4 linked regions of the Arabidopsis thaliana genome follow. The protein of the gene in region 1 interacts with the protein of each later gene in a pairwise test. Each region holds a gene or a part of one and is shown in the gene's direction. Other genes may lie near its edges.

Region 1 (8,211 bases):
AAGGCCCGTCAACAATTGATAATAAGTTTTCGTGTGAACTAAAACTCAAAAGTATTAAAAAGAATATACCAGTGGGTCTTATTATGCTCGATTATATAATTTTTCTTGCGTGTTATTATCATTTTTTCATGAATCCTAATTATTTATTTGGAAAAGTCCAAACCCGGAGATGCAGATTCCCTGGTCAATATTTGCTTACTAACTACAAATGTCGGAATCAACTTTAGTTCATTTTGGTTCTTATTGCGTCTGTTTTATAATAATCAGGTGTAGTTAAAGCAACTTTTTTTTGGGGCAAATTAAAGTAACTTTCTAATAGTATATATATAGAGAATATTAATACCCAATATTTATATACAGAAAATAACATGTTTAAATCAGCTTCTTCTAAATTTTAAAGTAATCAGTTTCATGAATTTGTAAAAAAAATTCTGCAGTATCATTAACTAGATGTCTGATTAAATATAGTAAAACATGTGTACGAATTATTTAGTTTGTATGGAGAAATATTTTTGGTCAAGCGATTAAAGTTCCATTTTTTGTGGATTTTTTTTCGCTAGAATTTAATTACGAATATTTGTTTTGTAGAGTTAACAACCTAAGAATCGAGATATATCTCGACATCGATGATATAAAGAAAAAAAAAGGTATAGTATATATTTTTAAAAACATACACTTATTGTTTTTAGTGATGATACTGGTAAAACACTTTCATGCAATATTATTGAAATACCACTTCAAAGACTAATTTTCGGTATCGATAGAGTTTTAGTTCGTCGACGTCGAGAAATTTTATATCCTCTTCGATTTCTTTACAGTTTTTATCGATTTTTTTTGTATATACTTCTAATTTTCTTCTCTCTATATGACTTTTCTCTCAATTTCTTCTTTTTCATATCTACTTTTTAAGATATTTTAAAGAGTCGTGAAAGAGCATCCCTTCAATATGCTCATGCCATTGGTATTGAATTCACCAAAAGAGAAGCCTCTCATCAAATAAGTTCTTCAATCCCGAAACTTGAGCTTAGTCTCCAAATCCTTTGAGTTAAGATGTCTTATGACCCTCGTCATTTATAAATTAAACTCAATAAAATTGATGTCTACACTTTGATCGGATTGAACAAGAACATTGTCATGTTCACTTGCAATATTCACATAAGCCTTTATCGGATTCAGTTGTCCGCAAATATTTTGATATTTACTCGATGAAAGATCTGCTATAAGGGTGAATAAATTTGTAATTCAAGCCCCATCACAAATCGCGGTAGATCAACTGCATCTAGCTTGGAAATCAAGAGTACTATATGCTCGTTGACGCCTTCATCAAGACCAAAAGTAAACTGTACATTGTTGCCTCTATTCCCCAATCTTGGAATCTAAATATCTCTTGATCAATTTTTTATGCTTGGTTCTATCATATAGTTACTTTTTAACTTGATGAATTTCCAAACATGTTTTAGGAAAACTACTTTGTGAAAATTTTATATTATATAAATAGAAAAGATAATTTAACGGAAAAGAAACATTAACTTTATAGCATGTGGTATGTGGATATTATGCTCACTCTCAATTAGTCAATTAAGATATACCAACAACAACCTGGTTGAGATATCACAGAAATTATCAATTAATATCTTATAAATGAATTCGAAATATGCTAAATGCAAACATAGTTTTGTAAGTACGTAATTTATAATATATTAATACTCAAATCTAAGACTTACTTTTGAAAACAAAAGAATATCTTGTCAAATTGACACTTTTTAATGTTCAAAAGAGATAGTAAGAAATTTCGCCTAACCAAGAAAACAATAAAAACAAGGAATTTCAGTCTCAATACTATATATATTTTTCTGTTATTCACTTATATATTTGGATGTGATAGAATACTTTTTTAAGAACACACATATCTTATCTTCACCGATATATTAGCTGATACATTTTTTACATTCCTTTTTATTATTATTATTCTTATTTATTTTCTATTCACATGTACTTACAAACAAAAACTTAAAGACTTTGCAATTTGCGTTACGAATATTTTTCGTCAGGCTGTAATTTGAAAAGTCTTCTAGATGATTTCAAGTCTCTGCTTAATGTGCCAACTAGGCTCTATGTCACTACTTTGTGTTGTCTCTAATTCTCATTCTTCTTGACAAGACCAAACATATCACTAATGATGAAGAGATGACTAATATTTGTTTATACATTTGCTTGTAATGAAGACATGTAGTATAGCAAAGCACCATATAATATAGTGATAGCATTCTATTAATTTGTTCTTTTTTACAGCCGAAGAAGAAGAGTATAAGAAACATGTTTAAGATTCAGCCTTAAACAAGTGAAGAAAAAACAAAAAGAAAGGCTCAACGAATGGGAACTTTGATCCAACCATTGGCAAAAGCAATGGCTAAGATGACGAATGGAGTTGACATACCGAATATGATAATGTAAGGAAGAGGCGTCTTCATCGGATTCTCTCCTTCTCTTTCTCCAACGCTTTGCCAATACCTACAAAATTCCAATGCAATCCTCATCCATAACCATTTCTTCAATCACAATTGCATGTTTATGAAAAATGAACATGCAAGAATTTAAGTTCTTTTTCTATTTTAAAAGAGTTTAGTTCTTTTGACTAAACTACAACCCAAATATTTTTATTCTTTTGCTAACACGGATTTGAGTCTGGATATTGATACAATACTAACACAATGTCACAAACCACCAGTCTACATGTCATTGACACATACAAAAAAAAAAACTACTTAAATTCTGCAATGGAGACTAAAATTTTTGTATTAAATTGGTAACCTACATATCGTTTTGTAATTTTCCATGTTTTCATCAATTTCCTAGGTTTGTTTTTCTGTGATTTTGCAAAATTACATTACCATTCTATGAGTTTCTGTTATTTTCTACAATCTCATGATGAAAATTGAGAATTAAGATTAACTTACTGTTCAGGTTCTTCCTCTTTGGTTATAAACTTTTTCTTATCTTTAGGCTTCACTTCTCCATCTCCTCCACCTTATGCAATAACCAAAGATTAACAAAATTTACATCTACAAACAAATAAAAGATATAAGAGTACCTAATTTGGCATGAAGCTTGAATTCTGGGAATCCTAATGGTGATGGTGGACAAAAGAATTGAGGTAAAGCAAGCAATGATGAATATGAAGAAGATGATGAAGTTGAGGAATCACTAGCCCTGTGGCTAAACGAAGAAGAAGAAATTCGAAATTTCGCTGCCATTTCCAACAACTATATGGATGTGATAGAATATTTTTACATTTTATTTTTCTGTTATTCACTTATACATTTGGATGTGATAGAATATTTTTTTCTGAACACACAGATCTTATCTTCACCGATATATTAGCTGAAGCCTGATACATTTACATTCCTTATTTATTTTTTATTCACATGTATGTACTAATAAACAAAACTTAAAGACTTTGTATTATGCGTTACGAATATTTTTCGTCAGGATTGAAAAGTCAACCCTAGGCCTTTAGCTTCCTTCTTTTATATAAACAGAGAAACAAAACACTTTCTTTCTCAGCCTCTCTGTTTCATCTTCTTCTCTAAACTCTCAACATGTCTTGCTCGGCCACCGATCTCGCTGTCCTGTTGGGTCCTAATGCCACGGCGGCGGCCAACTACATCTGTGGCCAGTTAGGCGACGTCAACAACAAATTTATCGACACCGCTTTCGCTATAGACAACACTTACCTTCTCTTCTCCGCCTACCTTGTCTTCTCTATGCAGCTTGGCTTCGCTATGCTCTGTGCCGGTTCCGTGAGAGCCAAGAATACTATGAACATCATGCTTACCAACGTCCTTGACGCTGCAGCCGGTGGTCTCTTCTATTATCTGTTTGGCTACGCCTTTGCCTTTGGATCTCCGTCCAATGGTTTCATCGGTAAACACTACTTTGGTCTCAAAGACATCCCCACGGCCTCTGCTGACTACTCCAACTTTCTCTACCAATGGGCCTTTGCAATCGCTGCGGCTGGAATCACAAGTGGCTCGATCGCTGAACGGACACAGTTCGTGGCTTACCTAATCTATTCCTCTTTCTTAACCGGGTTTGTTTACCCGGTCGTCTCTCACTGGTTCTGGTCAGTTGATGGATGGGCCAGCCCGTTCCGTACCGATGGAGATTTGCTTTTCAGCACCGGAGCGATAGATTTCGCTGGGTCCGGTGTTGTTCATATGGTCGGAGGTATCGCTGGACTCTGGGGTGCGCTCATCGAAGGTCCACGACTTGGCCGGTTCGATAACGGAGGCCGTGCCATCGCTCTTCGTGGCCACTCGGCGTCACTTGTTGTCCTTGGAACATTCCTCCTCTGGTTTGGATGGTACGGATTTAACCCCGGTTCCTTCAACAAGATCCTAGTCACGTACGAGACAGGCACATACAACGGCCAGTGGAGCGCGGTCGGACGGACAGCTGTCACAACAACGTTAGCTGGCTGCACCGCGGCGCTGACAACCCTATTTGGGAAACGTCTACTCTCGGGACATTGGAACGTCACTGATGTATGCAACGGCCTCCTCGGAGGGTTTGCAGCCATAACTGGTGGCTGCTCTGTCGTTGAGCCATGGGCTGCGATCATCTGCGGGTTCGTGGCGGCCCTAGTCCTCCTCGGATGCAACAAGCTCGCTGAGAAGCTCAAATACGACGACCCTCTTGAGGCAGCACAACTACACGGTGGTTGCGGTGCGTGGGGACTAATATTCACGGCTCTCTTCGCTCAAGAAAAGTACTTGAACCAGATTTACGGCAACAAACCCGGAAGGCCACACGGTTTGTTTATGGGCGGTGGAGGAAAACTACTTGGAGCTCAGCTGATTCAGATCATTGTGATCACGGGTTGGGTAAGTGCGACCATGGGGACACTTTTCTTCATCCTCAAGAAAATGAAATTGTTGCGGATATCGTCCGAGGATGAGATGGCCGGTATGGATATGACCAGGCACGGTGGTTTTGCTTATATGTACTTTGATGATGATGAGTCTCACAAAGCCATTCAGCTTAGGAGAGTTGAGCCACGATCTCCTTCTCCTTCTGGTGCTAATACTACACCTACTCCGGTTTGATTTGGATTTTTACTTTTATTCTCTATTTTCTAGAGTATTATTTTAAATGATGTTTTGTGATACTTAAATATTGTTTTGGATATTTTTTTGCATTTCAGTAATGTTTTAGATGTACAGTTTCATGGGGTTGTGATGATAATATCTATGTGGTCATTTGTGTTCTCTTTGGAGTTTTTTCTATAACGCTTTTTTCAAATTTTATGATCATTATTTGCTGCATTCTAGATAAGCAATTAGGAATGTGAAGCATGGACTAAGTAAAAGCCTGACCGTTTTTAAGTTTGGACTTTTGATATAGCTCATACTTTTTTGATATTAGTTCATACTTATTGCTTTAAATAGCTAAAAAGTCTAAAACAAACCTTGCATTGACGCAATAGATATAAATAACTCGAAGTATTGCTTTCTAGAAGCATTAACAATTTGGTAAAACGAAGTTGAACCATTTACTCAAGCATAATAATCAGAAATGACAATCTTTCATGTCTGATGCAAATAAATAATAATTTATGGAAATAATTTCTATGTCTTACATCACTAATTAGACTTTTAGATGCTTGCAAGTTTGAAGTTTCAGCAGAAGTAGGTGCTTTTACAAACTCTTTTTTGTTTTAATTTGATAAAGTGTGTTTTTACAAACTCTGTTTTATTTTATTTTGAAAAAGTGTGTTTTTACAAACTTTCAACCAACCTATTCACGAATCTCTAATTTCATTTGTCCACCACATGAAATAATGTGTTTATTATATTAGTGTTATTTAAACTCAACGATTTTGGAGATTCGTACGTACCTTGTTGCCGCAACTAAAGATTCGGAGTATCACAGTTATTATATTAACAAATGGATTCACAAAGTAGATCGCGAATTACTTGAAAGTTGGAACTCGTGATAATGTTGTCGATACCACTAAATGGCAACTTCGTACATATGTAAAAAAAGTCAGGGTATTTGGGTGCTTTTCAAAAAGATGGAAGCATGACATGAGTGATGAGGCAGCTCCTACAAGTTGGAAAGAAGATATTTTGTCTTTACCTCCAAATTAAAAAATTGGCATTTTTAAATATCAAAAGGTGAAGAAGCCAATCAATTAGTATATTTATTTGTATTTTTTTTTTTTTTTCAATCTCTTTTACAAGTTTTAAGGAACTTAATGGCCAGCACTTTGATTTGATAGATACACACTAAATGAAAAAGTTGACCAGATGGCTCCGGTACTCGGAAACAAATTGCATGGAAATTTTACATAATTAGGTACACACATTTCAACATTTTGAAGAATATATTTGACTGTTTTGATTTTGCAGTTTCAATTGCTTTATGATTTCTACTCGGTTATTTATTGCTTTCCTAAATTTTATTCTGTGTATCTTACTTTATTATTTTTTAGAATTTAATATTTGTTGCTTCTATTCTCAATGAATATACTCAACAGATGAAATAATTAATAAATAATTCCAAACATTTGAACGTTAAATAATTAAATAGTCTTGACCATTTTAATATTTTTTCTAATTGTAACATTTTCTTTAGTATTACTAGGTTATGATTATCATTACACGTTTGGGTTAAATATGTTTTTGAACTTTTGGCGACAGGCGAGTCACTTGTTTTATAAACTTAACTTATACTAATCATTTAACAGGCTACATGTACTTTGCTATAGGTGAGTCATGTAACTGTTTAATTAGCTAGTGTGAATGTGTGATCGACGAAAAAAAAAAATTAGCTAGTGTGACCATATTACTTATACAACAACAAACTAAAAACTTGTCAAACTAAAAAAAGAAAGTAATATATCTGTTTGTAATTAGTCTAATCGTATTAAACTTTTCAGTTTTCACATAATAAAACAAAATTACAAAAATCTGATTATAAATGCATCACTTTTTGTGATTAACAATTTTTTACCCTAAAGCAATAGTAATTATTCTTAAATTTTACAATTCATCATCATTAACAAATCAAAGATAAAAAAATTTAAAATGCTCACTTTTCATTTCTTAAAAAAATTTAATCTAAATTGATAATCATTATCTACTCGGAAGAAAATAATCGAGATGACAACGGCTTGGTTCATGTGTGAGCCTCAACCACCCCCTCTTTCTCCGTATTTCCCTAACATGTCTTCACGAAAATTTTATAATGATTTATAGAAATAATTCTGTGTTGTCATATATTATTGGAATTTTCAATGCTGGAAAGTTGCAGCAGAACTTGGCGTTTTACAAACTTTGAACCAACCGAACAGGAATCTTCTTGTCATTACATGCAATGTTTATTTGATTCAACATTATTTAGATAACCGAACGAACAACTTTGGAGATACGTACCACGTTGCCACACCGCAAGATTCGACGTGTATCCTAATATTTTACTAATAAGAAAGATAAGATTCGCACAAAAGAGATCACAATTTCGTTGGAGCCCGTGATATCGTTGTCAGTATCATAAATGGTAATTCCGTACATACATGAGTTCTTATGGGTAATTTTGGTATTTTAGAAGTCAGAAAGAAGAGATTTTACCAAGTTTTTGACGTCTCTAAAAGTGCAATTTGGACCTTTGTATCTCTTTATCAATACCTAAATAAAGAATCTAGATGCAAAATTGTTCCGCATGTTCAAATTTGTGTAAGAACATAACATAACACTATTATATGCAAAGATAAAACAATACTCCATCTAGAAAGACTCACTCCAACTGTAATATTCATAATTCATTTATTGTTGCTACAGATTCTGAAGTTGAAAAGAAGTTGCGCAAAACAATAATGATACTAAAATGGCATAGTCAATATTAGTGGCTATAATTAATAACTATACGTTACCGTACAGCTAGAAACAAAACCGTAAGACTTTCACGACTTTGATTTTTCCTTGTTGATTTGACTTTTTGTTCGAATAAATATATTCAATGTATCATATGCTTCCAATATTCCAATGATTAATGTGAAAACAATTCCATTTTCACCTTCAAACTAAAAAAAAACTTGGCTGACCTATAGATTCTAAATAATTTTATTCTAGAGTCCGACTTCGTCATAGATTCTAACTATTTGATTGAAGATTTTTTTTTTTCGATTAGAACTGTTTCAAACTTTATTAT
Region 2 (8,271 bases), on another chromosome or scaffold:
CCGGCTCTTTGACTATAACCTTTTGCAACCAATCTTGCTTTGTATCTTTCCACTTCTCCTTTAGAGTTTTTCTTTGCTTTATACACCCACTTCACGCCAATTGCCTTGTGTCCATTTGGAAGTGAAGTTAACTCCCATGTGTCATTCTTTTGTATTGATTTGATCTCTTCATCCATGGCATTTCTCCAAGTCTTCTTTTCAATGGCTTCTTGGAAATCCATGGGTTCGCACTCCGCAAATAAACAAAATAAGGTAAGGTTTTCTTGATTTTCGGTTACCTCATAGAGCTCTTGTATACTTCTAAAACGCGGAGTCCTTTCACTCGAACTTTCTTCTATTTGAGAACTTGTTAGTGAAGTTGGTCGTGTAGTAGGCTCTTCACTTGGTGGCTCCTCTCTTGTTGGCTCCGGCTCATCTTCTTCAAAATGTGGAAAGAAGTTATAATCTTCTTCATTTGAGTTCCAATCCCATTCTCCTTCTTCATCGAACACTATATTTCGACTAATAATTGTCTTCTTCGTATCGGGATTATAGAGCTTGTAGCCTTTGGAGTTGTTATCATAACCAATGAAGATATACTTCTCACTTTTGTCATCTAGTTTGCTCCGCTTCTCATCCGGTACATGAGCATGAGCAATACTTCCAAAGACTCTTAAATGAGAAACACCGGGCTTTCTTCCGCTCCAAGCTTCTTGTGGTGTTTTTCCGGAGACACTTTTTGTTGGAGATCGATTTAATAGATAAACCGCACACGCGACCGCTTCCGCCCACAACTCTTTTGGTAGTCTCTTACTTTTGAGCATGCTCCTTGCCATCTCAAGAATTGTTCTATTCTTTCTTTCTGCTACACCATTTTGTTGAGGGGATCTTGGCACCGTTAATTGTCTTCGAATGCCGTTGTCTTCACAATACTTAAGAAACTCCTTGGATGTAAATTCTCCTCCACGGTCGGATCTCATGGTTTTGATCACAAGACCACTCTCCTTCTCAACATGGGCTTTAAACTTTTTGAAAATTTTGAACACCTCGGATTTTTCTTTCAAAAAATATACCCATGTTTTTCTTGAAAAATCATCAATCAAGAATGAATAATGGATCCAGATCCTAAAAACAACAAAGCTTTCGAATAAGCATGAGGCTTTTTAAGAATAAAGTGGAGAAGGTTCTTTTTCAAGCCTTTTTTTTTTTTTATGGAACCTAATTAAATATCCCTTTTCGATTAGGAGTCCCAATCTTTGTTAATTTTATCATCATCTAATTGTTTTAGAATGGGATGAATATAAGCGCAATTGAAATTCCTGGGGAGTTATACATTTGAGAGAAGGAAGTAATTACTTTTACCAAGTGATTTCGGCTTGATCGGACCACACACATCGGTATGTATTAGCTCCAACGGTTTTTGAGCTCTTGAACTTGACTCCTTTGGAAAGCTCATTTTGAATTGCTTTCCAAGTAGACATCCTTCACACACTTGATTTGGATGATTTATACAAGGTAGCCCTCTCACCATTTCCTTCCTTGAAAGCAACTCCAATCCTCCAAAATTTAGATGTCCGAATCGAAGATGCCATAGCCAAGACTCCTCTTTGTAACACATCTTGAGACATTGTGCAATGTCATTTCGAATGTTGAGGACAAACATTCTATTTTTCGACATTGGCACCTTGGTAATGAGATTGCTTTCTTGGTCTCTTATTGAAAGGTTATTATCTTTTAATCTAATATCATAACCTTTCTCTAAGAGTTGTCCAAGGCTCAAGATGTTTGTCTTCATGCTCGGAATATAGTAAACGTTGGATATAAATTGATGATCTCCATTCTTCAATCGAATGAGAATGTTTCCTTTACCTTTTACCTCCATCTTCGATTCATCTCCTAAAGCCACATTTCCTCTCACCGATTCATCAAGCTCCGCGAACATACTTTTTCTCCCGCACATGTGATTACTTGCACCACTATCGAGGTACCACTTATGATTCTCTTCTTGTTCATCTTTCTTGTAGCTAGCCATTAATAACATGTCTTCTTCTTGAATTTTTTCTTCAACGTAGTTGGCCTTCTCCTCAAATTTTTTGTTGCTAGGAGCTTTACATTCAGAAGCCTAATGTCCAAACTTCCCACAATTGTAGCATTTGACACTTGATTTATCGTATCTTGATTTTGGGTGTCCTTTCCCACGACCTCTTGATGAGTTTTCACCTCTTTGGTTTGTGTTGTCTTCATGTGGCCTCCAACCACGTCCATTTCCATATCCACCACGACCTCGTCCTCGTACTTCACCACCACCTCTTCTTTGGTAACTTTGGCCGTTTTCTTCTTTTGTAATTCGCATATTGAGGACTTGTTCGACGATATCTTCTTTCTTCTTCTTCTTTTCTTCATAAGCTTGTAATGACCCAAGAAGTTGCTCTATTGTCATAGCTTCTAAATCTTTTGTTTCTTCAATGACGGTGACAATATGCTCAAATTTTAGATCCAATGATCTAAGAACTTTCTCCATGATTCTCACATCATCTAGCTTCTCTCCGTTTCTTTTAAGGTTATTAGTAACCGTCAACACTCTTGAGAAGTAGTCGGAGACGAGTTCACCTTCCTTCATTTGTAGTGCTTCAAATTCTCCTCTTAGAGTTTGAAGACGTACTTTCTTGACTTGATCGACACCTTTGTAAGAGGTTCGAAGCTTCTCCCATGCTTCTTTCGCCGACGTAGCTTCAACGACCTTCTCGAACGTATCTTCATCTAATCCTTGATAGATTAGACAGAGAGCTTTCTTGTCTCTCTTTCTTGAGTCTCTCAAACCATCCTTTTGAGTTTGAGAAAGACTACCTTCATTCTCCGGTTCAATGAAACCTTTCTCGACTATCTCCCACACGTCATGTGCTCCTAGGATAGCCTTCATTTGTAGACTCCAATTATCATAGTTGCTCTTTGTGAGCACCGGGACTTGGAAGGGAACATTGTTACTCGCCATCTTTAGGATCTTCAAGTTCTGCTACCACTTTGTTAGAGTAAAATTATTTTAGAGGTAATGGAGAAAGTGTTTAAGTGTTTTGAGAGAGTTTTTTTGGAAATAGAACTTTAATTACTTTGCTTTAAACTTGAAGACAACTTCACAACATTGCAACATTTGAGAGGAGGAGGAGGTATTTATAGCCTCCAAACTACAAAATATCTAAAATATTTTAATCGTAAGTCTAGAGAGTTCTTATATAAGATCTAGATTACATTATTCAAATTATCTAGATTATTCTATTAGAGTATCTAGATTTTTATGTTTAAGGAGGTGGAAGATGATTCTACAAAATTTCTAGAATCTTTTAAGGAGGTGGAAATGATGATATTTCTAGAGAAAATTCTAAAACTTGAATTTGGCCATAATTAATTATTGGATAATTGATCCAATAATTAAACTTGATTCAAAATCAAGTTTAACTTTCAACACAGTCATCAAGACTCACGTCCCGTTAGAAAACGTACGATTACTATAACCAATTAACCATGGTCCACGGTCAAACTTTAACCGTGGTTAATTTAAATAAAAGAAACATTTTATGCTTATAAACTCCAAAAACCCTTATTATATAGATTTTCTCTCCCGAATCTGTTTTCATTTTCACAATCTTCGTCTCAAAATCTTGTTTTTCTTTTCTCCTGCAAGAATCTCTCGCCATGGAAGGAGTTGTTGAGCCACGTGAAGAGAATCGTGACAGGGACGTGAAGAGCTTCGTAGATTGAACGGTCGTTTTGTCGTCGCAGTGTTGCTTGAACTGTCCACAAGAGTCTGCAAAAGAGCAGCTGCTGGCTCAGATCCAAACCCGACGATGACCGGACACGTGGCGTATTCTTGGGCGATGGAGTTCAACTTGTGGGCGCATCTTGCTTTTATGCTTGTGATTCTCAAGATCATTGTTGCTCCGATGGTGGTGGAACTGGAACAGATGAGAAAAGTACGAGAAGAGTGTGACGTGCAGCTGCTCGTGGGTTTGATTTTTGTCGTCCTCACGATTGCTTTCTTAGCGTACCTTCGCTGCTCCGTCACCGGGTGAGTGGTGTGTCTTGAGTTTCTTCCACCGTTACTATGGACCTGTGTCTTTTAGTGAGACCATCGACGATGCTTACATTTATCATCTCTCTTTCTATCTACAATCTAGTTTTCGTTTTTTTCTTTCTTTGATGGGTTTGTTGTTTTGAACATTATGGTTTCTTTGATTAGAGGTTTGAATATTTGGACCTGTGATCGTTCAGTGAGACCATCGCGGATGCTCTGTATCTGCTTTTCGTTTATTTCTTTGGATTTGTGTTGTGAACATTTTGGTTTCTTGAATAAAAGGTTTAAACAAGATTTTCTGAATATTAATTGATATTGTAGTTACAACTTGCAATATTTATCACTTCATACTGTATTTGCATAGATAAAAATGCGTTAAAGTTTCGGATCGCATCCCTGAATACAATAATTAGTTTTACAAAGAAATCGATGTGTGTGTGAACCGTTTATGATATCGGATTAAGACTAATTACTTCATGTTCTTGATGATAGTTTCAAATTTTAGCTCAAAATGTTTAAGGAATTAGCTGCAAAATGCAGTCATGAACTGTTTTTTTATCAATTAAATTTACATAAGATCAATCCATTGTTCAACGTGTCGTAATCAGGCAACTGCTTTAACTTTTGTTTACCCAAAGTAGTAACATTTTAGAAAAACCGATGAATAAAACTTAGTAAAAAAGACCATATTTAACCCTTAACATTTTTTTTTGTTCAAAATTTCACAATTATCTAACAATATAAAATATTTCTAGTCTTTTTATAGGTAGTTATATGATCAAATACTAAACCATGCAGATATTTTTGGTCCCAATTCTGTGTAACCAAAATTGTCAATTTCCGGTTCAGCAACGAACGAAATTTTGTAACCAGTAATTCAAGAAACCAATTTTTAACAGTGACCAAAAGAGGTAAGTCCTTCGTCCACTCAATATCATCAGTCATCACCTCTCTCCTTGAAACTTTTTCAACACGTACGGATTATAAACCATGGTTAGAGAAAAAGCAAGGTTAAAAAATAAACTATGGTCCATGGTTAAAATTTTAACCATGGTTAGGTTATAAACCCTTCTTCTTTCCCTCTTTAACAAACTCCAAAACCTCTCAGAGACAAATTTTCTCACTTTTTCCCGGATTCTGATTTTTTCATCAATCATCGTTTCAAAATCTCCATTTTCTCCTGCAAGACTACGAGATCGCAATGGATGACGAAGATGGAGGTCGTGAGAGAAGAGAAGAAACTCGTCGTGTAAACGATCGTTTCTTTCTTGCAGTTTCGCTCGCCATTTTCACCGGAATCTGCAAACGAGCTTCTGGTTTCGACGGTTCATATCTAACGGAGACGACGAAGAACGGACACGTGGCGTTATACTGTGCATCAGAGCTGAACAAGATGGCCGATATGTGCTTTATGGTGGTGATTATCAGAATCGGTTTATCGATGCTTGGACTCACGTTTGCGCCGGTGGTGATGCGTAGACTACGAGAAGAGACGGACATGAAACTTACGTTGGGTTCTATCTGCCTAGCGATTTCGCTCTGCTTCTCCGCTTATCTTCGGTTCTTCGTCGTCGGATGAGTTTGTGTTCGCCGGAATCTTCCCTGTTAGAGTAAAATTCTTTTAGAGGTAATGGAGAAAGTGTTTAAGTGTTTTGAGAGAGTTTTTTAGGAAATATAACTTTTATTACTTTGCTTTAAACTTGAAGATAACTTCACAACATTGCAACATTTGAGAGGGGGAGGAGGTATTTATAGCCTCCAAACTACAAAATATCTAAAATATTTTAATCCTAAGTCTAGAGAGTTCTTACATAAGATTTAGATTACATTATTCAAATTATCTAGATTATTCTATTAGAGTATCTAGATTTTTATGTTTAAGGAGGTGGAAGATGATTCTAGAAAATTTCTAGAATCTTTTAAGGAGGTGGAAATGATGATATTTCTAGAGAAAACTCTAGAACTTGGATTTGGCCATAATTAATTATTGGATAATTGATCCAATAATTAAACTTATTCAAAATCAAGTTTAACTTTCAACATTCCCTCTGCTTTCGACTTGGAACGCCGTCGTTTTAGTGAGATTCATCGTTTATCGTTATAATAATCTTTCTTTGTTTCATTAGTTTGAACAAGAGTTTGTTGATAAAAGTTTTCACTTTGAACCTTTTTAGTTTTTGAATACCATTTGATATTGGAGTCCAAGATTTATCGATTCATATACATTGCTCGTAACAGTTTCAGATATATTATCGTATTAAATTCTATTGCTTCGTGTGTTGCAATTTCTTGGTGGAGATGACAATGTCAATGAATCAGTTGTAATCATGAAAAGCTTTCTTCTTTGTTTTCTCAAGATACATGGGATAATCACAATATCTTAAAACAAGTTTAACTTGTGAGTGGCATCAAATTACATCAAAGTCTTAGTGAGAAAGATGTAAAAAAGATTAGGACATGGAAGAGCTTTCTTCAGTCTCTGTGTTGGTGGTTGTTGTTGTGGCATTTTGAGAGTCTTGGAGTAACTTCATTTGGTGTTCTGCGTGTTCTCTCTCGCATTGACTTACACCAATGATGATGTCGAGCATTGTTCCGGTTGTGCCAAAGAACACGAGTGGCCCAAGAGACTTGCGTTTGATGCCTACCGGGATTGCAACCAATGCGCCTAGGACTGAGAATACCCATGTCCCTAATGCACTGCACCCACAAAAAAGATCGAAAATTTCACTTTAGGATGTTTTGATTTCGAGAACAACAATCATACTGTGTTTTATATTAGAAGATACTAGATACAAATGTTGGATACTGCGGCTACTTCTTTATGCCAAGCAATGTAGTGGCTAGCATGATGGTATGAACAAGTGAAATTTACTAAGAGTGGGCTACATACCTCATGACTCAATGACAAAACTATGATCCTAGATCACAAAAAATCGATATCAAGAAGAAAACACTTTATACACCAGAGGAACTGAACCTTTCAACACTCAAGTGTTTTAACAAGCAAGACGTATCAAACAACAACCGTGGTTATATTCCAAGGTTACTTATTTTTTCCAAATGAAAAGCATGATGGTGTGAACAAGTGAAAACAACTAAAAGTGGCTACATAACTAATGACTTACTGATAAATTTCGATATCACAGTGAAGAAACAAAGACTGAATATGTGTTCCTTACTCTTTCTAATGATTAGCAAACAATCAAACATTATTGATGCAGTAAGAAACTAACTTGGAAACAGTGCATTCCTCGAGGTGTTTCACATTCTCCTGACTTCCCATCTTTGATCAGTCACTGAAAAGAAGCAATGCCCAAATAAAGTTTTCACCAGAAATATCTTCTAAACCAGATAGAAACCCAAATGGACTGAAGTACTTTTCACAAATGAAATGTAAACACGCTATATCTTCATGTGGAGTTAGAAAGCTCAAATCTTTGACTACTCAATACAATGTCAAACCAGAAGCAACAACAGAGTTGACTAATTAATGAGCTATAAGTATACAGATTCATCTCCATGAAACCCAGAAAGGCAAATATAAAAGCTATATCTTTGAATACTCAAACACATAAATCTGAAGCTCCTCTCGTGTTATTAATTGTCAAAGTTGAAAAATTGTTCAATGATTCTCACAAATCCTAAGACGAAACAACGACAACGATAACAAAATCAAATTCCTCACATAGTCAGAATAAAGATTCAAAATTGCAGCCAAAAACTATCATGAATCCTATGAAAAAGAACATTCCAATTCTTAGAAACGAAGATTACCTAACGAAGAAACGAAGATTGAGCAAAGTTCCTTTGTCGATTGTCGTTACTCAACAGAGAAACGAGAAACGAAGATTGACCAAAGGCCTAGGAGTGACTTCGGATTAATTTTGTTAACCGGAAACTAACCGAACCGAAATCGTTTAGCCAATCGTTAATTTCTGTTCGGTTAATTTCACGGTTTTAGTCGTTCTCTGATTATGGTTAAATTACAAGGATTTGTAACATTATTATTGTTTATTCATAACAATAAAGTTGTTTGGATTACCATAACACTAAATCACAGAAATGCAATCTTAACCGTCGTGAAAGAAACAAGAAACAGAAAAACCAATTTTTAAAAATAGGAAATATTATCTTCACTATATAAATCATCTAAACAAAACCCAATATCCATCACCAATTCATCTTGTTTTCTAATAACATTTGTTCTAATCAATATCACTACA
Region 3 (7,671 bases), on another chromosome or scaffold:
ATCTCTCCCGATCCATATTTTGCTTCTTCAATTTTGAGTTATGACCCAGAACTATGATTGAATCGAGAACAATTTTCTTCTGGGTTTGATCTGATTTATGCATTTGAGTTGTACAATCAATATTTTGGATTTGGCGTTTAAGTTTTCCACTATCGTCAAGTGATGTTGTCCTCCATGAAAATGTGTAATTTCGTTATTAGGTATTGTTCAGGATTCTAACCTTTGCCTAGAAGTACAGAACGAGGATTTGAATCAATTAGTCTCAAGGATCAGCTTCTTATGGCTCTTTAACAATTTGCTGTATTCAGAAATTAGGCAATTATTGCAATTGGTAACGAGATATCTACAAATCATGAATCTGGAAAACATTTCTTTGGAGCAGCTTAGGCTATATGCAAGGAGGGAATTATAATGTATCTGTATTGATTGATTATTTATTTCGTGGATTCTTCTTGAACAGGAGGGAGATTCAGAGAGCAAGTGCCAGTTTCTGGAGAGTCTGCAAATAATTCAGGCTTATCAAACACGGGAAGAATCGGTTCCTCTCCGGAGCCTAATCCTTCGACTTTGAGAACTTTTGGTGATATGAAAGCAGGCTTGTTAAACAGAGGAGTCAATGGTTTCTCGGCTCCTAATGCTCCTCCTACCTTCAAAAGTTCACTGAGATCAAGATTACCAAACTCTCTACCTGATCAGTTCGGTCAGACGAATCCAGGCTTACCAAACACGGGAGGAAGCGGATTCTCTGCTCCAAGTTTATCAAGCTACGAGAATTTCACTCAATCTTCTTCGCTTCTTAAGGAGAATTCCCGCAGTGGAGGGAAGTCAAGCGACCTGGATTTTGTTAGAGAAGTAATAGAAGATGAAGGAAGGAGAACCGCAGGGATATTCTCTCATTTCCAACGCCCAAACCTCGAAACGAATGCTGACATCATTCACATCAAGATGTTGAGGAACAACACTTTTGTCACGGTTACAGATTCCAAAGGAAACGTCAAATGCAAAGCTACATCTGGTAGTTTACCCGATCTGAAAGGTGGAAGGAAGATGACGAATTACACAGCTGATGCAACCGCTGAAAACATTGGGAGAAGAGCTAAGGCTATGGGGCTGAAATCTGTGGTGGTTAAGGTGAACGGATTTACGCATTTCGGAAAGAAGAAGAAAGCTATTATCGCGTTTAGAGACGGTTTCACCAACTCGAGGTCTGATCAGAATCCGATAGTCTACATCGAGGACACTACTAGGAAAGCTCATAATGGTTGCAGATTACCAAGGAAACGTCGGGTGTGAAAAGAAAACGTCCCATGTCGTCGTCTCTTGTTATTCTATGGTCACTATAGAAACCATTTGTTTTGGCAAGTTATATCTTTTCTTGGTTATGTTTTCTCCTTCAAATCCGAGGAAAATCGGGTTTAGATAATTGGACCAAAGCGATTTGATTAATAAACCGGAATTGTTTTCCTGTTTTGACCCAATAGAAAATTTGACATTTTAATCCCAGACCATATAAGCCTGTCAAATATAGAAGCAATAAAGTTATTCAAAAATAGTTATTTTGCTTTGGAAATAAATCGCTCTCTTGGTCTCAGGAAGTGAGTCGATAGATTGAGGAAAATCTGGTTTAGATAATTGGACCAAAGGGATTTGATTCATTAACCGGAATCTTAAGCCTTGTCAAATTCTGTTCACATATATAAGCAATAAAGTTTTTTTTAAAGTAGTGATTGATTTGGAAATAAATCGCTCTCTCGGTCTCAGAGATTGAGATTCCGATACGGCGGAGCAAAGCAATTTAATAAACCTAGGGTTCAGATTATGACGGCGGCGGAATCAATCGCCGCATCGATTAATCAAATTGATGAGAAGAAACAAAAATTGAAGAAAGCTTTCGATGATCTTCAAGCTCATCGATCTCTCCTTTCACCATCTTTTAACCTCTCATGGTCTGAGATTGACTCTCACTTTTCTTCTCTCCAGTCTTCATTGTTTAACCGCCTCCAATCAGCCGTGACTAGTTCCAATTCCGGTAATATCGAAACTCCCACGGCGGTTACGACGGAGACACCAGTCCTTTGGCCGGAATTGAGAAAGTTTTGTGAGAAGAATGATGGAAAAGGTTTGGGTAACTACATGATTGAGAATTCGAGGAAGCGTTTATCTATCAATGAAGAGCTTCCTAATGCGATTCGATGCTCAGAGAATCCAGCACCTTTGGTTCTAGATGCAATCGAAGGTTCTTACCATTGCTCATCACCATCGTCGTCTTCCTCGGCGAGAGCGATCGATGTGAAGAGGATCTTCGTTTTGTTATTAGAAGCTTTGATTGAGATCAATGCGAATCTCACGAATGATTTGAGAGAAAGAGCTAGGACTATTGCTTATGATTGGAAACCAAATATAGGTAACAAACCATCAGAAGCGTTAGGGTTTTTGCATTTGGTTGCAGCTTTTGAATTAGGGTCTTTATTTAGTACTGAGGAGATTTGTGATTACATTTTCTTGATCTCTAAGTATAAACAAGCAACAACGATCTGCAAGAAGATTGGTTTAGATAGAAATCGAATAGGAGTTCTCGTTCAGAAGTTTTTGGATACTGGGAGATTACTTGTTGCTATTAGATTCATTTACGAGAATGAGATGGTGGGTGAATTTGAACCAGTTTCGATTTTGAAAACTAGTTTGAAGAACTCTAGAGAAGCTGCTAAGAGAGTTTGTGCTGAAGGGAATTACTCTCTTAAGGTGCAGAACGAAGCTACTGATAAAGAACTAAGTGCTTTGAGAGCAGTTATCAAAGTCGTGAAAGAGAAAAACATCGAGTCCGAGTTCATGGAAGAGAAACTCGAAGAATGTGTTAAGGAGTTGGAGGATCAGAAAGCTCAGAGGAAGCGTGCCACTAAGTTCAATTCACCTGCTAATCCCCAACAACCACAAGAACAAAAGGTCGATAATAAGCGTCCTCGAGTTGCTAATGGTTCAAGTATGGAATATAATTTGACAATCCCACCTCTGAGGCCGCAACAACAACCACCACTTTTGCCTACTCCTAGTCAGATTTTACAAGTGAACCCATATGGTCTTTTAAGCTCAATACTTCCTGGTGTTGCTGTCCCATATGGCAACCCAAGGGCTCTATTTGGCTCGGTTCCAGCTCCAGCTTCTCGACCCGTCTTTTATGTGCAGCAAACTGGTTATGGGATGCCACCACCTCAGTACCGCCCACCGTACTATCCTCAGTAGCATCTCTCTATTGGTAAGATTTATTATAGGAATGCAAGCGATATTGAGAAGATTTCTGCTCGAACAGGTCTATGCTCTCTATGTGTTTTTGATGTTCAGTAATGAATATCAAGTAAATTTCGAGAGTTTTGACATAGATAACACTTGATATAGTCGCTGTTTGGGGGATAACATAAGAGCAAATTGATCCGTTTTTTCTTTTTTTGTTTACCTGGTGAAGCGACTATAGAGGATTTTGCCTTGATTGTACAGTTTTATAACCTAACCTTAACCTCTTTTTAATTTAGTTTAGTTTACTTGTGGAGGAATGGTCTTTATGGTTTTGATCTAACATTTATATTCCTTGATTTGTTAGGTAATCTTCCAAGATTTCCTCCCTTTTTTCTTATAATCACCAAAGATCCCTTTTGGTTTGATTTGTTGTAGTGGGAAGAAATCTACGTGTCTGGATATCTAAAATGATCCAAAGGATAATATTCAACTAGCACAGAAACAGAAATAGTTTTTTTTTCATTAAACTATTTAAGTTTACAAAAGGATATGCTTATGGTTTTTCTGATGGAACAGAAAATTAATATTGTCATTTCAATGGAGAAGGAACATGTTCGATGAGCAAAAAAAAGAAAAAACAGAACATGTTCTTTGTTTTACAGTTGTACCCATACTGATCAGAATAAGCCAATCAACGGGGTGTCTGAATCCACGTATACAGTATCTATCTCTAAAAATATTTATTTCCTTTAAAGAAAATATTTAATAGTTATGGCTTATGGGCCTGAGAGGTTTATCATGACGCCCATATATATCTCACGCGTTGTCCTCGTCTTCTCCGTCTTACACTGATTTAATTCTCCTACCAATCTCAACTTCCGACGTCTATTCATCATGGGTTTGAAGGTACGTTCAGATCCAAAATGAACCAAACCGATCTCGGTTTCGGTTTATTACTACTCGGATCTTAGTTTTGTTTGTGTTCACCATTCCTGAATTCTATATTTTCTGTGTTGGTAGCCTTGTTTGATCCAGATTTGCAGATATATAGGTTCCTTATAGTTACGAAATTGAAGCTTGTATAGTCAAGAATGATCACTTTATGGAATTGAATTATTACTGATCACGCTTTTTCTCTGTATGATTTTGTCCATTTACTGTTCTTATAACTGATTTGTTAAACACTGTTTGCTGATGGGTAATATAGTTTTGAATCTGAGCTAGGTTTGGTTTTATTGAGTTTTGTTTGATTATTGTATCCCGATTGAGAATTTTAAGTAGTAATATGTTTGATGGTGTATTAGGCTATTAAGAATCTTTTCTTCGAATTTGTTGTTTCACTGATTTATATATCTGCAGGAGGAATTTGAGGAGCACGCTGAGAAAGTGAATACGCTCACGGAGTTGCCATCCAACGAGGATTTGCTCATTCTCTACGGACTCTACAAGCAAGCCAAGTTTGGGCCTGTGGACACCAGTTAATATTTTTGTCTGAATATTAACATCCTCTATTTTTGCTTCTTAGTTCACTTTTCTGTAATGTTGTTAATAATGTGTATTTGTTTATTGATTGATTCAAAGGTCGTCCTGGAATGTTCAGCATGAAGGAGAGAGCCAAGTGGGATGCTTGGAAGGCTGTTGAAGGTACAAAAACAATTCAAGTGATCAACTTTTTTAGCTTAGTGATTTGTTTGTAATTTGGATTCTTGTCTCAAGTTCAACAATTTTTTGTGCTTGGGGAATTGAATTTGAACTTTTCTTTGTTTATGATGTCAGGGAAATCATCGGAAGAAGCCATGAATGACTATATCACTAAGGTCAAGCAACTCTTGGAAGTTGCTGCTTCCAAGGCTTCAACCTGATGAATCAAATCCTCATCTGCAGTAACTTTATCTTAAGCATCAAAATAACATTGCATAAGACTTGTTCTTGCTCTTGTGTTTCTATCATATTTAAGCTATCTACTTTGTGACATGGTGTGATCTCTTAAAAATGCTTGATATTGGTTAAAACAGAGAATCATGATGCAAACTAAATCCATAAGTTATTTTTGGTCCGTCCTCGATATGGTCTTAGTTAAAACAGTTGAATTCAAGATGATATATTCGTTCTGGTCCGTAGGTCTTTTTCTTCATGGTCCATCGCATTCACCACTCACTAGAAAACTTTCGTTTTATTTCAATTTGGAGTACATAAGACAAAAGCTGGAAAAAAAAAGAACGTGGCAGATTTTTTATTTATTTTTTTCGTCTCGAACATTGGCAGAATTGTTCAAATTGTATGTGGTTTATTTAAAGTCAAATTCGTAAATAAATAGACGTTTAGTTTTAAAGTGTCTACAAATTTGAGGTTTATAATTTGGTAGATGACAAAAACAATAGTTTTTTTATTGAGTTGATCATAATTACTTTTATTTTTTATTGATTGTAGATTAACTTCCTTCCCTTAATGATAATCTCTTAACCGTGATTCAAGAAATTAAATAATATTGTAGAATATTAAAATAATTAATTGTATGTTGAACATACTAATATTTAGTATTATGATAATCTCTTTATCAAAATTATACATCTAGAATTTTTATATTAAATGCATTGTGTTTTTCAATTGAAAATTAAACGATATAAATATATAGTATATGCACTTTAACATAACAAATTCTTTTATATATTTTAATATAAGTGAAATAATTAATCTATATATACATTTTTGTAGGAGGTTTTTGAAGATAATGTTGAAGATGTGAACCATAATTCAACAATTAATTCAAATGGGTGGGTTTTACCCGATTTAACTCTATTCGGATCCTGGATAACATGTTTAATTCTGTTCTGATCTTGGATAACATTAATTTTTGGAAAAGTTACCTAAAAAATAATAATTAAAAACGAAATTAATGATTTAATTACATAATATAAACAATATCTCTAAACTAACCATATTTCTTATTTACCTTAACTAATTTCCTAAAATATTTCTACCTAATTTAAACATAAATATATAATTCTTCTTTCATTTTTATTTGATCTTATACTTTATTTATTTTGAATTTATATAAAATATATATAGTTAATAAAATATTATATTTTTTCTGAATATGATGTAATTCAAATTTTTTAAAACGGAAATATATTATTCAACCTATGAAGAAATAATATGTGTACAATGTCCCACATCGCTTAGAAAAATTGGACAATAGTTCAGACCCATATTATAAAAGGACCAAAATGATTCTGATTACGAATGAGCAGGAAGCTTGATTTATCAGGCGTCTAAAATTAAAATAGTTATCCGATTTTACTCGGATTTTTTATTTTAAAGAATTGAAACTTTAAAATGTTTCAAGAAATTATAAATATTATAACTTTATCAAAAGTTAAATATTATAATTTTAAAAACTTTTTATAAAGTTTATCTTTAAAAAATGCTTTAAATATTTATAATTTTAAAACTTATAAAGTTTTAAAAATTATAAATTGAATTTTACAAGAAATTTAAACATTATAAATATATAAAAATATATTAATACGAGACGATATATTACAGGAAAAATCTTCAATATAACAATCAAAATTCAATGATGATTTTTGGGTCGATATTGTATTTTTGTAAGTTTCAAATTTTATAATATTGAAATTTATAAGAAAATGACAAAATTATGTTTAATTTCACGGGACTGGGTTATATGGTAGGACGGGTTTGGGTGGATAATAATTACGATTTTAGAATGTCCCACATCGCTTAAAAAAATTGGACAATGGTCAAGCCATACTATAAAAAGGACCAAAATGATTTCGATTACGAATGATCATGAAACTTGATTTATGAGGTATCCAAGATTAAATGGTTTGTTTACTAGGGTTATTTATTTTAAAAAATTGAAACTTTAAAAAGTTTAAGAAATTATAAATTAAATTTTACAAGAAATTTAAACAATATAAAAGATATTAATACGGGACGATATACTGCGAGAGAAATCTTAGATATAACACTCAAAATTCAATGATGAAGTTTGGATCAATATTAATCTTTTTTGAAGTTTCTAATTTTATAAATATTTGAAATTTATAATAAAATGACAAATTTGTGTTTAATTTCACGGGACGGGGTTATATGGTGTGACGGGTTTGAGTGGATAATAACATGGGATAGTATGCTATGGAAAAAAACATATAATAACAATCATAATATAATTATATAATCTTAAACACTAAACAAAATTAACAATATTAAAAAAACACACTTAAAACTTTATTTTTTTTAAAACACATTTTGATTCTTTTATAAAAAATTTAAACATTATAAATATTTAAACTTTATACTACGGGTGAAATTTTAGAATTGACTGTTTGGGTTGATAAGAATTTGCGATAGAACTAGGAGTTAAATCCTAGAATGACAATCAAAATATAATTATACAATTAAATACTACCACGAGTG
Region 4 (7,211 bases), on another chromosome or scaffold:
GGGGACATTACATTAAAAGGTAATTTATGAATTATATTTTTTCAATTCTATTTCAGTAAAAAGAAGAATTATCTTTTATAATCATATATGCAAGTTGACCAACTCTCTTCATCCTTCCGCCAAGTCAGCAGTAGATAGATTGGCATGTGTCACATCAATATATTAATTTTATTTATTATTTAATTTAATTTATTTAAGAATTAAAAATCATGAGAGACATGTGTCACATCGATATATTAATTATAGGGTAATATTAGAGGATGACCAAATTTGACAGCATTATTAAGAAAATAGCCTTCGTGCAGAAAAGTTGGATAAATAACCTTTTTTGAGCCTGCGAAATAACTATTTTACCTTTTATAGATGAGAGAAACTCTTTCTTTTCGACAATAGCTGCTACATGTAGGGAACAAAAGACAATAGAAAGTAATGATTACACCGCTACTTCTTAAAAATCATGCAATATTAGACCACTACTTATTAAAATCACACGCAATATCTCTTATACCTTAAAAATGTATACGTAAAAGAAAATTTAGTTAAAAAATAGCCATTTAGAAACAGTTGTGATTGAGTATAGAAATGTTGCATAAGATATTTAAGGACATGCTATTTATTTTTATTATATTAGAACGTAGGTTTATTGTTTTGACAATATGGTAAATGGGTTTCAACAGAGATAAGCAAACCACATATGTGTTATTTATAGATTACATGTGATTGTACAAATTTGCATGTGATTATAAAAAAAACATGAATCATGAATCAGTAACTTACTTGTGATTTTAGTAAAAATATGGATTATTAGTAAAATGCACATTATCTTTAAAAAAATATTATCTTATCAAAAAATACAAACGTTTTAGGAAAATATACATATCAAATAGAAAAATAGCATGAATTATTCAAAAATTACATGCTATCGTTTGAATTGAGACACACGGATCATTGTAATTTTAGTAAAGAACAAGTATTATTTAAAAGAAACTTTGAAAAATACAATGTTTTAGAATAAAAATACATGTCAACAAAAGTAAACGGCGGTGGTGATGAATAGGGAAGAGGCGGTGGTGTTATGGATATGATGGTGGTGAATACGGAGGCGGTAGTATTTACAGATCTAGTAATACTAAATACGGAGGAGGCGGTGGTGTTACGGATCTAGTGGTGGTTATTGTTGTAAGGGATGAGGAGGTTATGGAAGCTTTAGTGGTAAAACTATTTGCCTATAAAGCTATTTGTCCCTTCAACCAAAACTCTATTATAGGGATATGAGAGTAATTTAAAGTTGGTTTCCGACAGGTACTATACGCCCATGGTTAGTTTCTATAATATTATGAATTTCATAGTCATCTAGTGCATATACCCTTAATTATATTTATTAATTAATTTAAGAATTAAAAATCATGCATTAATTCTTTCTTGCATACAAATTGACATGTTTTAACTTATTAATTGAATAAATTTATTTTAATTAAGTACAAAGTATATCAAACTTGTATATAAATTAAATTATTTAAATTTAGTTGTATAAGTCGTATAAACTTATGCATAAATAATATGATATAAGAATTTATTTCATGGTTTTATATAGTATAATATATATAGGATTAGTGACAATAAATATTAGTTGAATTTATGGTTTATTTATATAAGATACTAAATTGACACTAGTTTAATTTCGTTTATTTTAAAAATACTTTAAAGACAACAATTGTTTTAAAGGTAAGTAATTGTAAATAAGGTTTATTAATGTAATTAAAAACATTAAAAAATAGAATGAATTATTTACTTGAGAGTTAGAGAAATACATTAAAATGATAATTCGATAAAATACAAAATATGTTTTACCAAATTAATTCAATCGATGTTATTTGTTATAACTAACAAATTATATGAATATACTCATACCTTGTGCAGGTGTTGGCTTAGTATTTTAAATTCACAACCATCGATGTTTATAACGAGCTAATGTATAACACATATAGCTTTAAATCTAGAGTATAATAAAAAATAAATTTTAATGGAAATATAGTAATAATAAATAAAAGATACTAAATTTCAAATATTCAATGGTTCCGTAGAATAATGTTTTTTAATTACTTGATAAATTATTTATACAAAATTAATTAGGTGATAGTTCCTCAGTATTCCTCAAAAATTAAAAGCCACCCAATATATTTTTGTAAAACATTATGCATTACTAAATAAAATTTTATTTTTTAATTAAAAAGATATAATGAGAATCAAAATTTCTTCTTCTCATCTTTGTTTGTTTCTTTGGTCATTTTTAAGAGCTAAATCATCTTATCATTTGTATTTAAATTGTTTTTTCTGCATATATGATTCGAATTTATCAAAAACAAAATGTTGAAGATGCATCCAAAATAATTGAGAAGGGATTAAGTGATATTATTACCCAGGTCTAGTCGACTTAAATGATTTTCAAAAAATATGATGATCTGTTGTTCTTACAAACTCAGATTCCTAGCTAGTGTAGAGCTTCCAGAGTTCTCATTGTGTCTTGTTTGTGTCTTTACGAGAGGTTTGGAACAAATTTCTTGATCTTATCGTTAGGTTTGATCCCACACGCGAAGCAATATAAAGATTGTGATTTTTAGTATTGTGCAAGAATTCACAAAACACATAAAAATATCTTGTGATGATCAACAAGACTAGTAAACAAGTCTATCAACCTTACATGTAGAAGTGCACTGGTCGAATAACGAGGATGAGATTTGTAGGTCAAAACTGTAATTGATGGTAAATAAACATTGGCGATCATGATGTTATAAGGGGTATCAAAACCAAACTTAATTGAGTGTTTAGCAATGTGGCATCACAGTACCATTGGGGGAATCAGTATTATATTTTACTTTGTTACTGAGAAAATATTCAAATATTGGTTAGTAGATATAGACTAAAATAGTTACCGAGGAATAGATATTATTAAGATGTGACCACACTTTCTCATGAACTTTTGTAGCAAGTTCATAGAAAAACATGTGTAAAAGAAACATGGTGTTGCTATTTAGCCGCATATATATGAGGGCTTAATCTCGTCGCTATTTAACAATAGAAATAGTCGACGTCATTTGTTTCTACCAAGGGACTTAAACTTGTCCTTTGTCAATGCGTAGTTTTGTGGCTTCGGATTTTAAAAAATTGTTTCTGAATTTATATAGATCTAACAACCTTTGTAAGATTAATGCTTTAGATACTAATATACTATCAATGAAAAAGAGTATTTACTTTGTTTTCACATTTATAGGAAAAAATTAGAAATCTTCATTTACAAAACGACATTCGTAGTTTGAGGTTATTACTTTTTGGCGAAAAGAAAAGAAAAGTTTGAGGTTATTACTAACGATGCCAACTATCAAAACAAAATTTATGTTAGTAACCAATTATGTGGGTGTTTGGTTGAGTAGTAACTTTCCTTTTTACTGTTGTTCGGCAGTAGCTATAAACTTTTTGTTGTATGATTACATGTGTTGGTTGTAGATGTAGAGTTTGATTGGTAAAGTTAATTAAATATTGAGGATTCAAAATTTAAGTTTATCAATTTAAAATTATAACATAATATTAAATGAGATAACAAATAAATAATAAATAGTAAATTTCATATGTATAACACATTGTTTGGTCAATTTTATAATTTTTTTTACCTCAAAAATATGATAAGATTTTTTTGTTGTCTTATGTTTAAAGTACAACGTACTCATATAATCTTATGCTTGTGAAAGTTAAAAATAATTTCTGTCCCGCTTGATGATTATGTCATTTTATTCTACAAATTTTTTTTGGCAACCGATATTAATTAGAATTCAAAGAGTTAATCCGAGAGATATTGTTTATATATATGGTATGATGCAATTCGGTATAATTCTTTCATACCAAATTATCCGTTTTTACATTTACACTACAAAAAATTAAAAATAAAGAAAAGTTTGTGAATTCCTTCTTGTCATTCCAAAATTTATCTTTTTTTTCCTAATTTTTCGGTATAATTCTAATTACTCTATGATCAAAACCATAAATAAAGATAAAACTGAACAAACACAAAAACTTGGATCCAAAAATACGGTTGGGACATTACCACATTTATGGCGGCATTCAATTCAATTGATTGCCACGCATTTTTCCAAAAGAATATACCCTATATAAAAAAATCCATTAAATATTATCTTTAACACATAAATGAAATCTTTCTCCTACATCCTACATAATCTGTGAATCTTCTTTCCATGTTTACACTGTTATAAAGCAACTTCAACTAATCCCGTTTTAAATATAAGCTATCTACTCTCTCTTAGCCATAATGGGAAACGAAGCAGCACTAAGATCATCAATGGTAGGTCTTGCAGTGGTGATGGTAGTTGTATGGTTATGGACACAGTCTTTAAAGAAGACGGTTGTTACTTACGCCGTCGGTATTTCTCTTATTGGCGGCATACTTTTGCCGGATTGGGACTTCTTTGATCGGAGTTTCTCTCGGTGGGGCTATCCTGTCACCGCCGAGGAAAGATCAGCCGCTCTCGCCCGCAAATCTCATCCTTCAAGGTTACTTGTTTATCTTATCTCAATATCAAACTAGTTGTTTTATCATATCATTATATATTAATCTTTGAATTATTAGATCTAAATTTTGGTTTAGCTTTATTGCCTTAAAACCTATTGGATAAACATAAATCATACATACAATTTTTTTTTTGTCAACCGATATTAATTTGGATTCAAAAGAGCGAATCTCAAACCATACATACAATGTTAGGTTCCATTTGCAATGTATGTATTATTGTATATCTACGAATTAGGTGTACAAGTTATGATTGAATTTGTTTATTTTCGTGAATATTTTCTATTGATTTTAATTGTTAGATCCAAATTTTGGTTTGGTTTACTGGCCTAATTAATGGATAATGGATACATCTTTGGACCAAGTAATGCAGGTTTAGAGTGTACCCTATGAGGATGGTTTTATACGGCACGGTCTATGGATATGCAGTGTATAGGTGGTGGATGTTCGTATCAAATTATTGAAGCCATATTGTATTTACTTGGTCCATCTTTTTTATGGTTTAGTGTTGTTGATTAACAAAATATTTAGCTTCGTTTTATTTTAACTTTGTAGAACATGTAAGACTACCAGATTACATATTGGTGTGTCCACATAAGATGGACAAAAATTGTCAAATGGATTGTGGTATACAAAATTGACCCAAAACAAAACTCCTAGAGACTCTAAATGAGCATTCTACCACCAAATTCTGTCCCACATCAGAAAGATCTTTAGGTTAAAAGTGAATGTCTCTAGGTTGTTTCGCAAGAAGGAGCAGGAGGGGGAGGAGGAACACCGAAGACCCAATCTAGTACGTTCAAGTATTTTGATCGAAATACGTCTCTTTCTTGTGCGTAACAATGCATTATAATGGCTGTCGAAACGCTGAACACAACCACATCCGCTCTTCTTAAACTCTTGGGCGGTCGAATGTATCCTGCCTCTGTCATGCAAGTAAAGAAGCTCTCTATCGCCCTCGCTAAGCAGTATAGTGATATCTCTATCCTTCTGCTTTTCTTCTCAATAGCTAAAGCCAGACCTGTTGGGAACTGCAGGAGAAGCCTAACGTTAGGTATTATATTAACAATGATATGTGATGAGAATGGCTTTCGTTTGTACTGTTGCTATGGCCACAAGCGGTATGTTGCATGTCTCAAAAGTGCGGAATAGTAGACAAGTCCAAGCCCTATTTTACATCATTATAGAGATGGTCTAAGTTCCAACTTCAAGTGAGAACAAAACAAAAATCGATAAGAGCCTTCCAAGAATTGATTCTAACCAGGCAGAAGAGCAGTAAGTAGCGAGAAACAAACTTGATCTCGCTGTGCCCAGAAGACCCTTGCCAAGTATAGAGTATTGCCTGTGATGAAACATATTATGAGGTGATGAATAAAATCAGAGGATATATACCATTCAATGAGCAGTTTAGACATAAACCTATTACTTTTTTAGCAGGTCTTGACGATGGACTATTAGCGCTGGAATCAAATACACAGGGACATAGACAGGTAACGCCCTCTTGTAAGCTTGAAGGAAAAATGTAACACCATGCTTAACACATGACTCATTTCCATGTATTATCTGCAAGTAACAACATAAGTATTGCGTAAAACCATGCATGCAGACTCATTGACGATACATCAACTATCGACAAATGCTTTGTTCGTCTTAACAACCCAAAAAAGATAGTATCATAGAAAACTTACCGTACAGGGGACTTTCATGGTAGGATCCAGTTTGATATCAACTCCAACAGACTTGTAATATTTCTCAATCGCTCTTAAATTAGTGAACGGTTGCGCGGTTGCGATATCTTTTACGCCTTGTAAGATTGAAAGATCCTTCCCACCTTGTTTGTTAAGGAAAGACTTGTACGATGAAGGAAGGCTTTCTTGTTTCAAAATGTAAGCAGACCTGAAAAAAAAACACAAAATCGCTAATCTAAGAATCTAATAACAACCAAGAACCTAGTAACAACTAGCTGAACCACAAAATTTAATATCTTTGTAGAGAGAAAGAGAAAGCATACAAAATCTGTGAGGAAGAGAGACACATGAGGAATAAATCTCCATGTTTCCAAGTAAGTGGCTTGCAAATGGTACCAAAGCGTTTACTTTTAATACCGCAACGCGATGCGAGAACCGCAGCACGCATCAATATATAAACAGCCAAACTCGTATGTTGCGTATTTGGCCCTGTGAGAAGCATAGATGGTCCAGCCACCAATCCAGCAAACAGGGCCCTCCATTTTGCAGTTCTGGATTCAGATTAAATTACTTCACAGTGATCAAATCTGAAGAAATTGATACTTCACTATTTTTGGGTTTAAATCACAAAATAAAAGTTACAAGATTAGTGGGGACAAACATGCCTCTTGTCTCCTGCTAAAGCAGCAATAGCTTCATCTACAGAAACAAAAGTCCCAGCAAAAGTTCCTAAGAACAATCCATATCTTAACGTCTCCTTAATCCCCATAGCGATAGCTTCACTATTCGAAAACTCTCCGGTTTTCCTAAACCGACTACGATTAGATTTCAGATCAGATGAGCTAAACCGGAAAATTTGAAAAATCGATTTCGGTTACCTAGATTGAGGAGAAGATCTACGACGACGAGCGAAACGAGCGACGATTGAGAAAATAGCTAAACCA

What was found.
Region 2: the proteins of AMT1;1 (region 1) and AT1G21940 interact in a protein complementation assay, tested with the Arabidopsis thaliana proteins (one large-scale study listed by BioGRID).
Region 3: the proteins of AMT1;1 (region 1) and ACBP6 interact in a protein complementation assay, tested with the Arabidopsis thaliana proteins (one large-scale study listed by BioGRID).
Region 4: the proteins of AMT1;1 (region 1) and AT1G34640 interact in a protein complementation assay, tested with the Arabidopsis thaliana proteins (one large-scale study listed by BioGRID).

The regions. Positions count from the first base shown.
Region 1 is NC_003075.7:7,854,621-7,862,831, forward strand, and holds AMT1;1 (ammonium transporter 1;1), read left to right. Parts: upstream 1-3,562; 5' UTR 3,563-3,599; coding exon 3,600-5,105; 3' UTR 5,106-5,298; downstream 5,299-8,211. Other genes in the region: AT4G13500 (uncharacterized protein), read right to left, coding at 2,367-2,511, 2,958-3,027, 3,092-3,254. UniProt on the Arabidopsis thaliana protein: High affinity ammonium transporter probably involved in ammonium uptake from the soil, long-distance transport to the shoots and re-uptake of apoplastic ammonium that derives from photorespiration in shoots.
Region 2 is NC_003070.9:7,712,526-7,720,796, reverse strand, and holds AT1G21940 (uncharacterized protein), read left to right. Parts: upstream 1-3,821; coding exon 3,822-3,981; intron 3,982-5,235; coding exon 5,236-5,627; downstream 5,628-8,271. Other genes in the region: AT1G21930 (uncharacterized protein), read right to left, coding at 6,499-6,745, 7,282-7,331.
Region 3 is NC_003070.9:11,408,554-11,416,224, reverse strand, and holds ACBP6 (acyl-CoA-binding protein 6), read left to right. Parts: upstream 1-3,991; 5' UTR 3,992-4,125; coding exon 4,126-4,137; intron 4,138-4,590; coding exon 4,591-4,708; intron 4,709-4,812; coding exon 4,813-4,875; intron 4,876-5,007; coding exon 5,008-5,093; 3' UTR 5,094-5,459; downstream 5,460-7,671. Other genes in the region: NFD3 (Ribosomal L18p/L5e family protein), read left to right, coding at 461-1,293; FRL2 (FRIGIDA like 2), read left to right, coding at 1,819-3,240. UniProt on the Arabidopsis thaliana protein: Binds medium- and long-chain acyl-CoA esters with very high affinity. May function as an intracellular carrier of acyl-CoA esters. Confers resistance to cold and freezing.
Region 4 is NC_003070.9:12,685,538-12,692,748, reverse strand, and holds AT1G34640 (peptidase), read left to right. Parts: upstream 1-4,205; 5' UTR 4,206-4,321; coding exon 4,322-4,563; intron 4,564-4,952; coding exon 4,953-5,043; 3' UTR 5,044-5,197; downstream 5,198-7,211. Other genes in the region: AT1G34630 (uncharacterized protein), read right to left, coding at 5,314-5,610, 5,681-5,747, 5,841-5,921, 6,006-6,142, 6,268-6,475, 6,591-6,818, 6,933-7,073, 7,146-7,211.